2 linked regions of the Saccharomyces cerevisiae S288C genome follow. The main gene of each other region encodes a partner of the protein of the gene in region 2 in a complex. Each region holds a gene or a part of one and is shown on either strand. Other genes may lie near its edges. A codon is read from its position in the direction of its gene.

Region 1 (6,429 bases), on a different chromosome or scaffold from region 2:
AAGATAATTTGGCCAAAGAGTGGAAAAGCGCTAAGACAAGGACCACGTTAAACGAGACGCCATTACACGATGATGAGCATAGAACTTCCTTCACCTACACCACTTGGAATAATTCTACCGATACATTGATGAAAAGAAAAGAGGAGCGACCAGTAGAATCAGCCTCTTGTTCTCAGTTATCCATTGCAACCATAAAGGCGGAAGAAGATTTACTATACCAAGATTATATCAACAGCGGGAGGGAAAGCTCATCTCCGGAAATTTCTCCCTTGAATACCACAACCTCATTACCATTTTTTCCAGGTGATAATATGAGTGACAGCTCAGGAGAATATGAGGAGAGAACCTCTCTTAGCCCTAATAAAATTCACATTTTTCGTGATTATTTTTATAAGTCGCCGTCACCCTAACCATCGCCCATATTACAATAATAACAAAATCCTTGGAATGAAGAGAATAAAATTTTAATTAAAATTAATAAAATAGTTAATCATATTCTTTTGCCTTCATAGATTAGATATGAAATATTTTGCTCACATAAGTTAATATTGCTTTTGCATTTTTGTTTCTGACTTTAGTTTCTCATTAGTCGAAATGACTTTAGTTCTTTAGAAATATTTTAAATTCAGTGGGGGATTTTCGTTCTTTATTGGTGCAAATAACGATTAGTTTTTCATTTCACGATATTTAGCTGCAGTTGATAGGTGATATATCTGCTTTAACTCTTACCTTTACAGTTTGTGATGAAATGATAGGTTTAAACAGTCGTTTAAAGAGTTGTATAACAAAAGGACTCTTAACAATCGAAGTTTTTTTAACATGTTAACACCATCTTTAGTAAACGTTATATTATTGAGTATGTGAAATATACTAGAAGTTCTCCTCGAGAATATACGAATCAATAAAAGAGAAACAATATTTCTCCACAAAATCTTATAATTATTACACCTTTCGTTTTATATGTTTCATTGTCCTATTACATTATCAGTCCTTGCATTTCAGCTTCCATTATATTTGATGACTGTTTCCCAATCTTTATGCCATCTTGTTACACCGCATATGATAATAGATTCTAGTAACATGAATACTACTAATAAATGATATTTTAGAGTTTCATTTCAACAAATATACTATGTGAAACAGTAGTCAAATTTAATATGAAACCGAACATGCGAGAATTGAGGATTAATAGGATGTGAAACATATAAAATGGAAGAAAGATAATTACAAAATTTTGTGGAGAAATGTTGTTTCCATGTTATTGAGTCTTATATCCTTGAGGAGAAACTTCTAGTATATTGTGTATACATAATATTATATTGCCTTAAGCAAAATGGAATCCCAACAATTATCAAATTATTCACCAATTGATCATACACAATAGTTGATTATCATTTCAACATTATAACCTTATACAGAGAGTAATATACTAATGGATGAATACTACCAGTAGAATAAGACATAAACAAATATGATTAATGTCACTTTTTGCTTTTTTGCCGTCATTCTTTTTTATTTTTGTATAATTGGTGGTGTAACGTGGATTAAACATAAATAATAGGTTTCGTGGTCTAGTCGGTTATGGCATCTGCTTAACACGCAGAACGTCCCCAGTTCGATCCTGGGCGAAATCATTTTTTATACCTGTTATATTTCATAGAAATGTAGTAGTATTGCGAGATGAATAAAATGTCTGCTATTCAATAGTAAGGGCTTCTTTCCCCCACCTCTTTTGTTTGATTTTAAAATTATTATCAAGTAACGCGTTGTTTTCTTGTCGCGAGCCTTTTATTTACAACGAGTAAGGGTCAGGATATCTATGGAGTTTCTAGCTTGATCGTTATCACAAACTTTACTACTAAATGATAATTGTTGGTATGAACAGTATATATATATATATATATACATGTTCTGATCTTGAAAAAAAAATAAATAAAAAATGTTATTGATTGCAAGAATTTGGAAAGCAATTCATATGAGAAATTAAAATAACCAATTCCAGATTCTTTTTTTTTTTTTTCACTTTTCGAATTAAGTATCTTAAATACTGCACTTGTATATTTATATTCTTACTGTTGTAAAAAGAAAGACTAATGGCCTTTGTCAATTGCACTTTGGGTAAATTGGAAAGCAATAATATGAAAATTAAACGCATCGCGAAAATCTTGCGACCATTTAGTAAACAAAGAAAATAACCTGTCACTGACCAAAAAAAAGAAAGGTAAAGGAAGCAGCAGTAACAATATCTTTATCCTTTGATAGGTGGTAACTGACTTCGTTACTTTATGAGATGTCCGGCTTTAGCCTTTCCGAGTATCTGACCAAGTTCCAAACAACAGATCGAGAATCATATCCTCGCTTGCAGGACCCATCCAGAGAACTGAATGTTATCATAGACCAATTGGCCGTTTCACCCGAACAAATAGATGCTAGTCCAGATTCACTAGAAGCATTAATAGATCTTTGCCATGACTTCCCGCACTTAACACCGAAATTACAAACTCAACTAAGCTATTTGATAAGTTCATCTCTGTCGAATCTGTCAAAAGATATTAAGGCTAATCTCTCATCAAATGTTAACTTTACTGAAATTGGTGGCCTGATACCGCAGTGGAAAAGGCATTTAGAAGAGTATGGCTACCTTATTCAGGTACTTTTGACGTTTTTACAAGATGAGTTACATAAGGTCTCCTCGCAGTCTACCAATCTAAACCGTTCTGCCAAAAACAGTAAGAATGATAGTGCAAACGTCGAGCTGTTTAAAAGAGACTGTAATCAAATGGAAAACTTGCTTGAATCTATAACAAAGCTACTGGAGATTAACTTATCTAAGATATTTCAGACAACTCCTGAAAAGGATTTGTTTATTGGTTTGTTCACAAGACCATTATTTGTGTTATTAGAGATTGAACCTGTGACGAAGGTATCATCACTAAAGATGTTTATTCAAAGGATTTTGGCTATGTGTGTTAAAAATCACGGTCAAAGTTCAAGTATACAAAGTTCATTGATGACAAATTTAACTTATTTTCTTCATTTGTCGGTTTTTAATGCAGAATTACTAAAACTATTGAATGATGAATATAACTATCCACAACTAACAGAAGATATCTTGAAAGAAATCAGCACCAGGGTATTTAACGCAAAGGATACCACAGGCCCAAAGGCAATATCAAATTTTTTGATTAAATTATCAGAGCTATCACCAGGAATAATGCTTCGACAGATGAATCTTGTCATCACCTTACTCAACAATAGTTCTATAACATTGAGATGTTCCGTTGTAGAAGCATGTGGAAATATTGTGGCTGAATTGGCTCAAGACCCACAAACTATGGAACATTATAAACAACAAATAGCCGTACTTATTGAGTTACTAGAAGAAAGATTCCAGGATTCAAATCCCTACGTTAGAACGAAGGCGATACAAGGGTGTTCAAAGATCTGCGATTTGAGTTCGAAATTTAACAAAAGCAAAGCTAAATTTACTTCGTTGGCAGTACGATCATTGCAGGACCGCTCCTCTTTAGTTCGTAGGAACTCAGTAAAGTTACTTTCAAAATTATTGCTAAAACATCCTTTTAAGGCCATACATGGTAGCCAATTGAGGCTGAGTGAATGGGAAGAATATCTCAAAGGATCTGAATCACAGCTAAATTCCACTTTAAAGAAAGTAGAGTCACAAGAAACTCTGAATGACACGATTGAAAGGTCTTTGATTGAAGAAGAGGTAGAACAAGATGAAGGTCAATGTAGGACCGAGTTAGAAGGTTCTTTCAATAAGAGCGCAGAACTTTCTAGAATAGAAAATGAGGTAGAGAATATAAATGCAACAAATACCAGTGTTCTCATGAAGCTAAAGTTAATGATTGTTTACTATAAAGATGCCATTAGTTTCATTAAAGAGATACACAAGAGTATTGAATTGATATCTAATTTGCTGTTTTCTAAGAACAGAAACGAAGTTTTAGAATCAATGGACTTCCTAGTTTTAGCAGACGCTTTTGACATTGAGTTAAGCGAATTTGGTATAAAAAAAATGCTGCATTTGGTTTGGATGAAGGGCACAAACGATGAAGGAACGAGTATATCAGTACATTTGATAGAATGTTATAAGCAGCTATTTTTAACCGCGCCAGATAGTTGCAATATGCAGGAGAAGGCGGCACATATTGCCAAAAATTTAATTAATCTAAGCATCGGCGCATCTATTGCAGACTTGGCCTCTTTGGAACAGCTATTAGGAATGATGTATGAACAAAAATTGATTGATCAACATGTCATTAATATCCTTTGGGCTATTTACAATTCTGCATCGAAGGCCAGTATGCAGAAAGAACAAAATGTGAACAACCGTGACTCCGAAAAAGGGTTTTCTAAGGAACAAATTCATGGTTCTATTATTATTTTAGGAATGTTATCGTTAGCCGATAACGAAATAGCATTAAAAGGACTGGAGTCACTTTTAAACATTGGACTTGGTGCCGTTGGTTTAAAAGATCTGACCCTTTGTCGGTATTCTTGTTTAGCGTTAGAGAGAATGGTTCCCAAGAGAAGCACTATTATTACCAAGGCAATAAATCAAGAGCTTGAAGATGTTGCAGTGAAAAAGTTGTATGCCATAATTATCAACTATACCAAGGATAATGAATATTATCCTATGTGCGAACAAGCGCTTAGTGCACTGTTTACAATCTCTTCTAAGCCCGATATACTAGCTACAGATCTGATTAGAGAAAAGACAATGATGACATTTGGTAAACCTGAAGAGGAAGACTCTATTTTGTCGTTAGAACAATCATCTAGAGTTGTTTCTCTCAGTCAATTATTATTCATTGTAGGACAAGTGGCAATTAAAACACTTGTCTATCTAGAGAAATGTGAGGCAGAATTCAAGAAAAGAAAGATCGAGGCAGAAACTCGGAACGGTAAAGTAAAAAACCAAGGTGCAGATGTAACTAACACCACACAAGATAACGGTGGTGATAAAGAGCTAGAAATGATAGGAGGTACTAATGAGGACGATTTCACGGATGCTATTCAATTTGTAAAAGAGAATGAATTACTATTTGGAGAAAAATCTATATTAGGGAAGTTTTGCCCAATTGTAGAAGAGATTGTTTCTAATTCAAGCAGGTTTAGCGATCCAATGCTTCAAAGAACGGCAACCTTATGTCTAGAAAAACTAATGTGTTTATCATCAAAATATTGTGAAAAGAGCCTGCCGCTATTAATCACAGTAATGGAAAAATCTCCTGATCCTACTATTCGCTCAAATGCTGTCTTAGGACTAGGTGACATGGCAGTATGCTTCAACAACTTAGTAGACGAAAACACAGATTATTTGTATCGCCGTTTGCATGATGAAAACTTAATGGTACAAAGAACATGTTTAATGACAGTTACCTTCTTGATTTTAGCTGGACAGGTTAAGGTTAAAGGACAATTAGGAGAAATGGCCAAATGCCTAGACAATCCAGACCAGGGAATAAGTGATATGTGCAGATTATTTTTCACCGAGTTAGCATCCAAGGACAACGCCATTTATAATGGATTCATCGATATCTTTAGTAATTTATCGTCAGATGATTTATTGGGTAAGGAGAGTTTCAAGAAAATCATCAAATTTCTGTTAACTTTTATCGATAAGGAACGGCACCAAAAGCAATTAAACGAGAAATTAGTTGGAAGACTGAGAAAGTGCGAGACCCAAAAGCAATGGGATGATATTGCATTCGTACTAAACAATCTACCATACAAAAATGAAGACGTCACTGCATTATTGGAGCAAGGTTTCAAGGTTGTATCCGCAAAAGAATAATCGAACTGACGTTTACCCGTTTCTTCCGTTTTATATTATATGTTATTATATAAATAAAAGCTGTTCATTTCTTTCTTCTTGAAATATGACTTTACCTATCTCGATAAAATTCATTTGTGGTCGTCTTCATTCACTCCTGGGCAATGCTCGTAGAGATCACCTTCATCCTTATACTTGATTCCGCAAAAAAAACAGTAGTACTTCTCGGACCTCAGGAATATATTCAATTTTGTTATTCTTTTTTCAATGCTCAATTCTTCTAATTCAGCAAGTTCTGTGTCTTTTGTAATGCGACTACCGATAATTGAAGTATCACAATCTATTAATGTAGAAGGACGTCCAAACTTTTCACCTTTTATTGCAGGCGAAGCCTCCAAACTTTCATTTACCATTGGTATCATATTATTCTTATCTTCATTATCATTGTTACTGTGATTATTTAGGTCATTTTTTGCTACTTCCTCATTTAGTTGCATAACGTAAGATCTCCAAAGTACGTTAAAGTCTCTCGGATCTTCGCCTGGATTGTATAAATCGGAATCACCCATCATTTCAAAAGCAACTTTTTGGATCCTATACCAAATTTTTTTTAACCGCTTATTATTTTT
Region 2 (6,002 bases):
CGTTCTGCCTAGCGGCTAAGCGTTCTCCGCGTATTGTTTCACCGTTGGGCCTACGGTCGATGGTTTGGCATTGCTCTGCACGATCAGATCAATCTGGAATAGTATGGGAATTGCCAAACGCAGCACCAGTGCACATGGATGTGAACCTATGGATTACTACGCAATGCACTATCGCATAGGCATAATCGATTGAACCCTGCCCCTCCCCTCCTTCAATATCATTACCTCGTTTTTTTTATTATTGGGTCATTTTTTAGCGACTAATAACCATTTCTGAGCAAACTAAGAAACCATTAGATCAATAAGCAATGGGTATGTCAGCACCGTGATTTAACAACCATGTGATTGTCGTAATGGCGCAATGTCATCACACCCTTTTACAGTCTTTTTATTCCTTTTGTTGAAAATGTATCGTGTATACTAACAGAACTGTGTTTTTTCTCATTATTTTTTATTCAGGTAGAGTTATTCGTAACCAAAGAAAGGGTGCTGGTTCTATCTTTACCTCCCACACCAGATTGAGACAAGGTGCTGCCAAGTTGAGAACTTTGGATTATGCTGAACGTCACGGTTACATTCGTGGTATCGTTAAGCAAATTGTCCACGACTCCGGTAGAGGTGCCCCATTGGCCAAGGTTGTCTTCCGTGACCCATACAAGTACAGATTGCGTGAAGAAATCTTTATTGCTAACGAAGGTGTCCACACTGGTCAATTCATTTACGCCGGTAAGAAGGCTTCTTTGAACGTCGGTAACGTCTTGCCATTGGGTTCTGTCCCAGAAGGTACCATTGTCTCCAACGTTGAAGAAAAGCCAGGTGACAGAGGTGCCCTAGCCAGAGCTTCCGGTAACTACGTTATTATCATCGGTCACAACCCAGACGAAAACAAGACTAGAGTCAGATTACCATCCGGTGCCAAGAAGGTTATCTCTTCTGATGCCAGAGGTGTCATCGGTGTCATTGCCGGTGGTGGTAGAGTTGACAAACCATTGTTGAAGGCTGGTCGTGCTTTCCACAAGTACAGATTGAAGAGAAACTCTTGGCCAAAGACCCGTGGTGTTGCCATGAATCCAGTTGATCACCCTCACGGTGGTGGTAACCATCAACATATTGGTAAGGCTTCTACCATCTCTAGAGGTGCTGTTTCTGGTCAAAAGGCCGGTTTGATTGCCGCCAGAAGAACTGGTTTGTTACGTGGTTCTCAAAAGACCCAAGATTAGATTATGTAAAATAGTCATTCTTTAAGCAAGATCTAAAAAAAAAAAGATAACTCAAAAAATTCCTCAAAGCAAACAATACAATATAACATAACACTTATTTTTAAAGAAAAATTTCTAAATTAGATTTTGTTCTGTAGTAATAGAATATTTCTTCAAAGTAAACTTTAATATACTCTCATAAGCTCCCCCCTTCTCCCCTGTGAAGCATTGCTTCATGGAGGGGGTTGACTTCTTGAATAAAATGGCTTTCTGCCTTACGCGTTTATAGTGATTACCGTGTTGCGTGGCTCTGATGATGGGCATTTCTAATTTTAAGATCAACAACAGTAAACACACGGTGCAGTCAAGAAATCTCGAGGCAGACCACGTAAATACAAGTCAATTTTAGTATCGTTACCGCATGAAGGTAGAGGAATTGATTATTGATGGTTTCAAATCATACGCTACAAGAACAGTCATTACTGATTGGGACCCTCAATTCAATGCTATTACAGGTCTAAATGGGTCCGGTAAGTCGAACATTTTGGACGCCATTTGCTTCGTGCTCGGTATAGCATCAATGAGCACTGTGCGAGCATCTAGCCTGCAAGATTTGATCTATAAGCGTGGTCAAGCAGGTGTTACCAAGGCAAGCGTAACCATTGTTTTTGATAATACCGATAAATCAAATTCTCCCATTGGGTTCACTAACTCTCCTCAAATCTCTGTTACAAGGCAAGTCGTGCTTGGTGGAACTTCTAAATATCTGATAAATGGGCATAGGGCACCTCAACAGTCGGTTTTGCAACTATTTCAATCCGTGCAGTTAAATATCAATAATCCTAATTTTTTAATCATGCAAGGTAAAATTACCAAGGTTTTGAATATGAAACCCTCAGAGATCTTATCACTGATTGAAGAGGCAGCAGGGACAAAAATGTTCGAGGATCGTAGGGAAAAGGCAGAAAGAACAATGTCTAAGAAAGAAACTAAATTACAGGAGAACAGGACTCTGTTAACTGAAGAGATCGAACCTAAACTGGAAAAACTTCGAAACGAAAAGAGAATGTTCCTAGAATTTCAGTCTACTCAGACTGATTTGGAAAAAACTGAACGAATTGTTGTATCCTATGAATACTATAACATTAAACATAAACATACATCAATAAGAGAAACTCTGGAGAACGGTGAGACTCGTATGAAAATGTTAAATGAATTTGTTAAGAAAACTTCCGAAGAAATAGACAGTTTGAATGAGGATGTCGAGGAAATCAAACTTCAGAAAGAAAAAGAACTACACAAAGAAGGCACAATCTCCAAGTTGGAAAATAAGGAGAACGGTCTTTTAAATGAAATTTCTCGTTTGAAAACTTCACTGTCGATAAAAGTAGAAAATTTGAATGATACTACTGAAAAATCAAAGGCTCTGGAGTCAGAAATTGCAAGTTCCTCTGCAAAGCTAATCGAAAAAAAATCGGCATACGCTAACACTGAAAAGGATTATAAAATGGTGCAGGAACAACTCAGTAAACAAAGGGATCTTTATAAACGAAAAGAAGAATTAGTTTCCACTTTAACCACAGGTATTTCCTCGACCGGTGCCGCAGACGGTGGTTATAACGCACAGTTGGCCAAGGCAAAGACTGAGCTGAATGAAGTCTCCTTGGCGATAAAAAAATCAAGCATGAAAATGGAGTTGTTGAAGAAAGAGCTATTGACAATTGAACCTAAATTAAAGGAGGCCACGAAAGATAACGAGTTAAATGTGAAGCATGTTAAACAATGCCAAGAAACGTGCGATAAACTACGAGCCCGACTAGTCGAATATGGGTTTGATCCATCACGAATTAAAGACCTGAAGCAAAGAGAGGATAAATTGAAGAGCCATTATTATCAAACATGTAAGAACTCTGAATATTTAAAAAGACGCGTAACAAATCTGGAATTTAACTATACGAAACCTTATCCTAATTTTGAAGCCAGCTTTGTCCATGGGGTGGTGGGTCAACTTTTCCAGATAGATAATGATAATATTCGCTATGCTACTGCTTTGCAAACTTGTGCCGGAGGTAGGCTATTCAATGTTGTTGTTCAAGATTCTCAGACGGCCACTCAGCTATTAGAAAGAGGAAGATTACGCAAGCGTGTTACCATCATACCTCTTGATAAGATATATACGAGGCCAATAAGTTCTCAAGTGCTTGATTTAGCCAAGAAAATTGCTCCTGGGAAAGTTGAATTGGCAATAAATTTAATAAGGTTTGATGAATCTATCACTAAAGCGATGGAATTTATTTTTGGAAATAGTTTAATCTGTGAAGATCCGGAAACAGCAAAGAAAATTACCTTCCATCCAAAGATCCGCGCTAGAAGTATCACCCTTCAAGGTGATGTATACGACCCAGAGGGTACATTGTCTGGTGGTAGTAGAAATACCTCTGAATCGTTATTAGTTGATATTCAAAAATACAATCAAATTCAAAAACAAATTGAGACCATTCAGGCTGATCTCAACCATGTAACGGAAGAGCTACAGACGCAATATGCTACATCGCAAAAAACAAAGACCATTCAAAGTGATTTAAATCTCTCGTTGCATAAATTGGATTTGGCTAAGCGTAATCTCGACGCGAATCCATCTTCCCAAATAATTGCTAGGAATGAAGAAATTTTGAGGGACATTGGAGAGTGTGAGAATGAAATCAAAACCAAGCAAATGAGCTTAAAGAAATGTCAAGAAGAAGTTTCGACCATTGAAAAAGACATGAAGGAGTACGATAGCGATAAAGGATCCAAGTTAAATGAATTAAAGAAGGAATTGAAACTATTGGCGAAAGAGCTGGAGGAGCAGGAATCGGAGTCAGAACGTAAATATGACTTGTTTCAAAACTTGGAATTAGAAACAGAGCAATTGAGCTCAGAACTAGATTCTAATAAGACGCTATTGCATAACCATTTGAAATCTATTGAAAGTTTGAAATTGGAAAATTCTGATTTGGAGGGAAAGATACGAGGTGTTGAAGACGACCTTGTAACAGTCCAGACAGAACTGAACGAAGAAAAGAAAAGGTTGATGGACATTGATGATGAACTAAATGAATTAGAAACATTGATAAAGAAAAAACAGGACGAGAAAAAAAGCAGTGAATTAGAACTACAAAAATTGGTCCATGACTTGAACAAATATAAGTCTAATACGAACAACATGGAAAAGATAATTGAAGATCTGCGACAGAAACACGAATTTCTTGAGGATTTTGATCTGGTGAGAAATATCGTCAAACAAAATGAGGGTATCGATTTGGATACTTACAGAGAAAGGAGTAAACAATTGAACGAGAAGTTTCAAGAGCTCAGAAAAAAAGTTAATCCAAATATTATGAATATGATAGAAAATGTTGAGAAAAAGGAGGCAGCATTAAAAACAATGATTAAAACGATTGAAAAAGATAAGATGAAAATCCAAGAGACTATATCGAAGTTGAACGAATATAAAAGAGAAACTTTAGTCAAAACATGGGAGAAAGTGACACTTGATTTTGGTAATATTTTTGCAGACCTTTTACCAAATTCATTTGCAAAATTGGTTCCATGCGAAGGTAAGGACGTAACGCAGGGTTTAGAGGTTAAAGTAAAGCTTGGTAATATATGGAAGGAAAGTTTGATTGAATTGTCCGGTGGGCAAAGGTCGTTGATTGCTTTGTCATTGATTATGGCATTGTTGCAATTTCGACCAGCGCCTATGTATATTTTGGATGAAGTTGATGCTGCTCTTGATTTAAGTCATACGCAAAATATAGGTCATTTGATTAAAACAAGGTTTAAAGGATCTCAGTTCATTGTAGTCTCGCTTAAAGAAGGTATGTTTGCCAATGCTAATAGGGTCTTCAGGACGAGATTTCAAGATGGTACCTCCGTAGTTAGTATAATGTGATGGTTAGTTTTCATAAGACAAATAAATATTGTAATGTAATCATATTTCAATAATTTTCTATTTGGCAGCCAATAGAAAAGCTTGCGCATAGAAGAAAACTAAAAGTAAAAAAAAAATAGAAATGTTCAAGACAGGTTCAATAAATAGATATTTAGTTTTTATTACTATATTAATTTAGTAGACTTCTAAAATGTATCTTGATGCTTCCTTTAATTCTTCAATTGCGGCATCCAAGTCGACTTTGATGCCTCTTTCCTCGGCGTCTTTAGCCAGAATGTCTTGCAAAGCTTGAGTAATATCTGGAACTGGCCAAGTAGGGCCACACAAGTAAAATGAACCTTTATTATCAATCATTGCAGTTTTTAATTCATCCAAATTCTCTTTGATACGATCTTGAATGTAAATTTTTTGAGGTTGGTCTCTTGAGAAAGCAGCGCCGATGTGTGTGATAATACCTGCATCTTTGTAAGCCTCCCATAACTCACCATATAAATATTCTTCTCTTTTGTGTCTTGAACCTAGATATAGGAAGACTTCACCAATCTCATAACCTTGCTGCTTTTGCCATAATTTCTCTTCAACAATGGCCTTGAATGGTGCCAAACCAGTACCTAAACCACTCATAATAACTGGTTGCTTTGGAGATGGTGGTAATTTCATAACAGATGGTTTAACGCTAACGACCAATTCTGAACCGACAGCAAGGTCTGAGATATACTTAGAAGCTTGACCGTACCTTTTTCTTCCTTTATTATCCACCCAATCAACAACAACGATCAATAAATGAACTTCATTTGGATGAACTTTCTGAGAGGAGGCAATTGAGTATTCTCTTCTCTTCAATGGTTCAATGATAGTAACAAGTTCCT

Evidence for each region. Proteins that work in one complex are often made in the same cells at the same time.
Region 1: the proteins of SMC2 (region 2) and YCS4 are in contact, whole or in part, in a cryo-EM structure (PDB 6YVV), measured with the Saccharomyces cerevisiae proteins. Residues at the interface, in NP_116687.1 of Saccharomyces cerevisiae: Ser53 (codon at 1,777), Ala59 (codon at 1,795), Ser60 (codon at 1,798), Leu62 (codon at 1,804), Gly111 (codon at 1,951), Gln124 (codon at 1,990), Asn139 (codon at 2,035); in NP_013374.1 of Saccharomyces cerevisiae: Val33 (codon at 2,387), Ile34 (codon at 2,390), Gln37 (codon at 2,399), Asn95 (codon at 2,573), Thr99 (codon at 2,585), Leu104 (codon at 2,600), Gln107 (codon at 2,609).

What each region holds. Positions count from the first base shown.
Region 1 is NC_001144.5:683,064-689,492, reverse strand, and holds YCS4 (condensin subunit YCS4), read left to right. Parts: upstream 1-2,290; coding exon 2,291-5,821; downstream 5,822-6,429. Other genes in the region: protein phosphatase regulator PIG1, read left to right, coding at 1-410; CMG1 (Cmg1p), read right to left, coding at 5,932-6,429. UniProt on the Saccharomyces cerevisiae protein: Regulatory subunit of the condensin complex, a complex required for conversion of interphase chromatin into mitotic-like condense chromosomes.
Region 2 is NC_001138.5:215,725-221,726, reverse strand, and holds SMC2 (condensin subunit SMC2), read left to right. Parts: upstream 1-1,620; coding exon 1,621-5,133; downstream 5,134-6,002. Other genes in the region: 60S ribosomal protein uL2 RPL2A, read left to right, coding at 309-312, 460-1,220; MET10 (sulfite reductase subunit alpha), read right to left, coding at 5,308-6,002. UniProt on the Saccharomyces cerevisiae protein: Central component of the condensin complex, a complex required for conversion of interphase chromatin into mitotic-like condense chromosomes.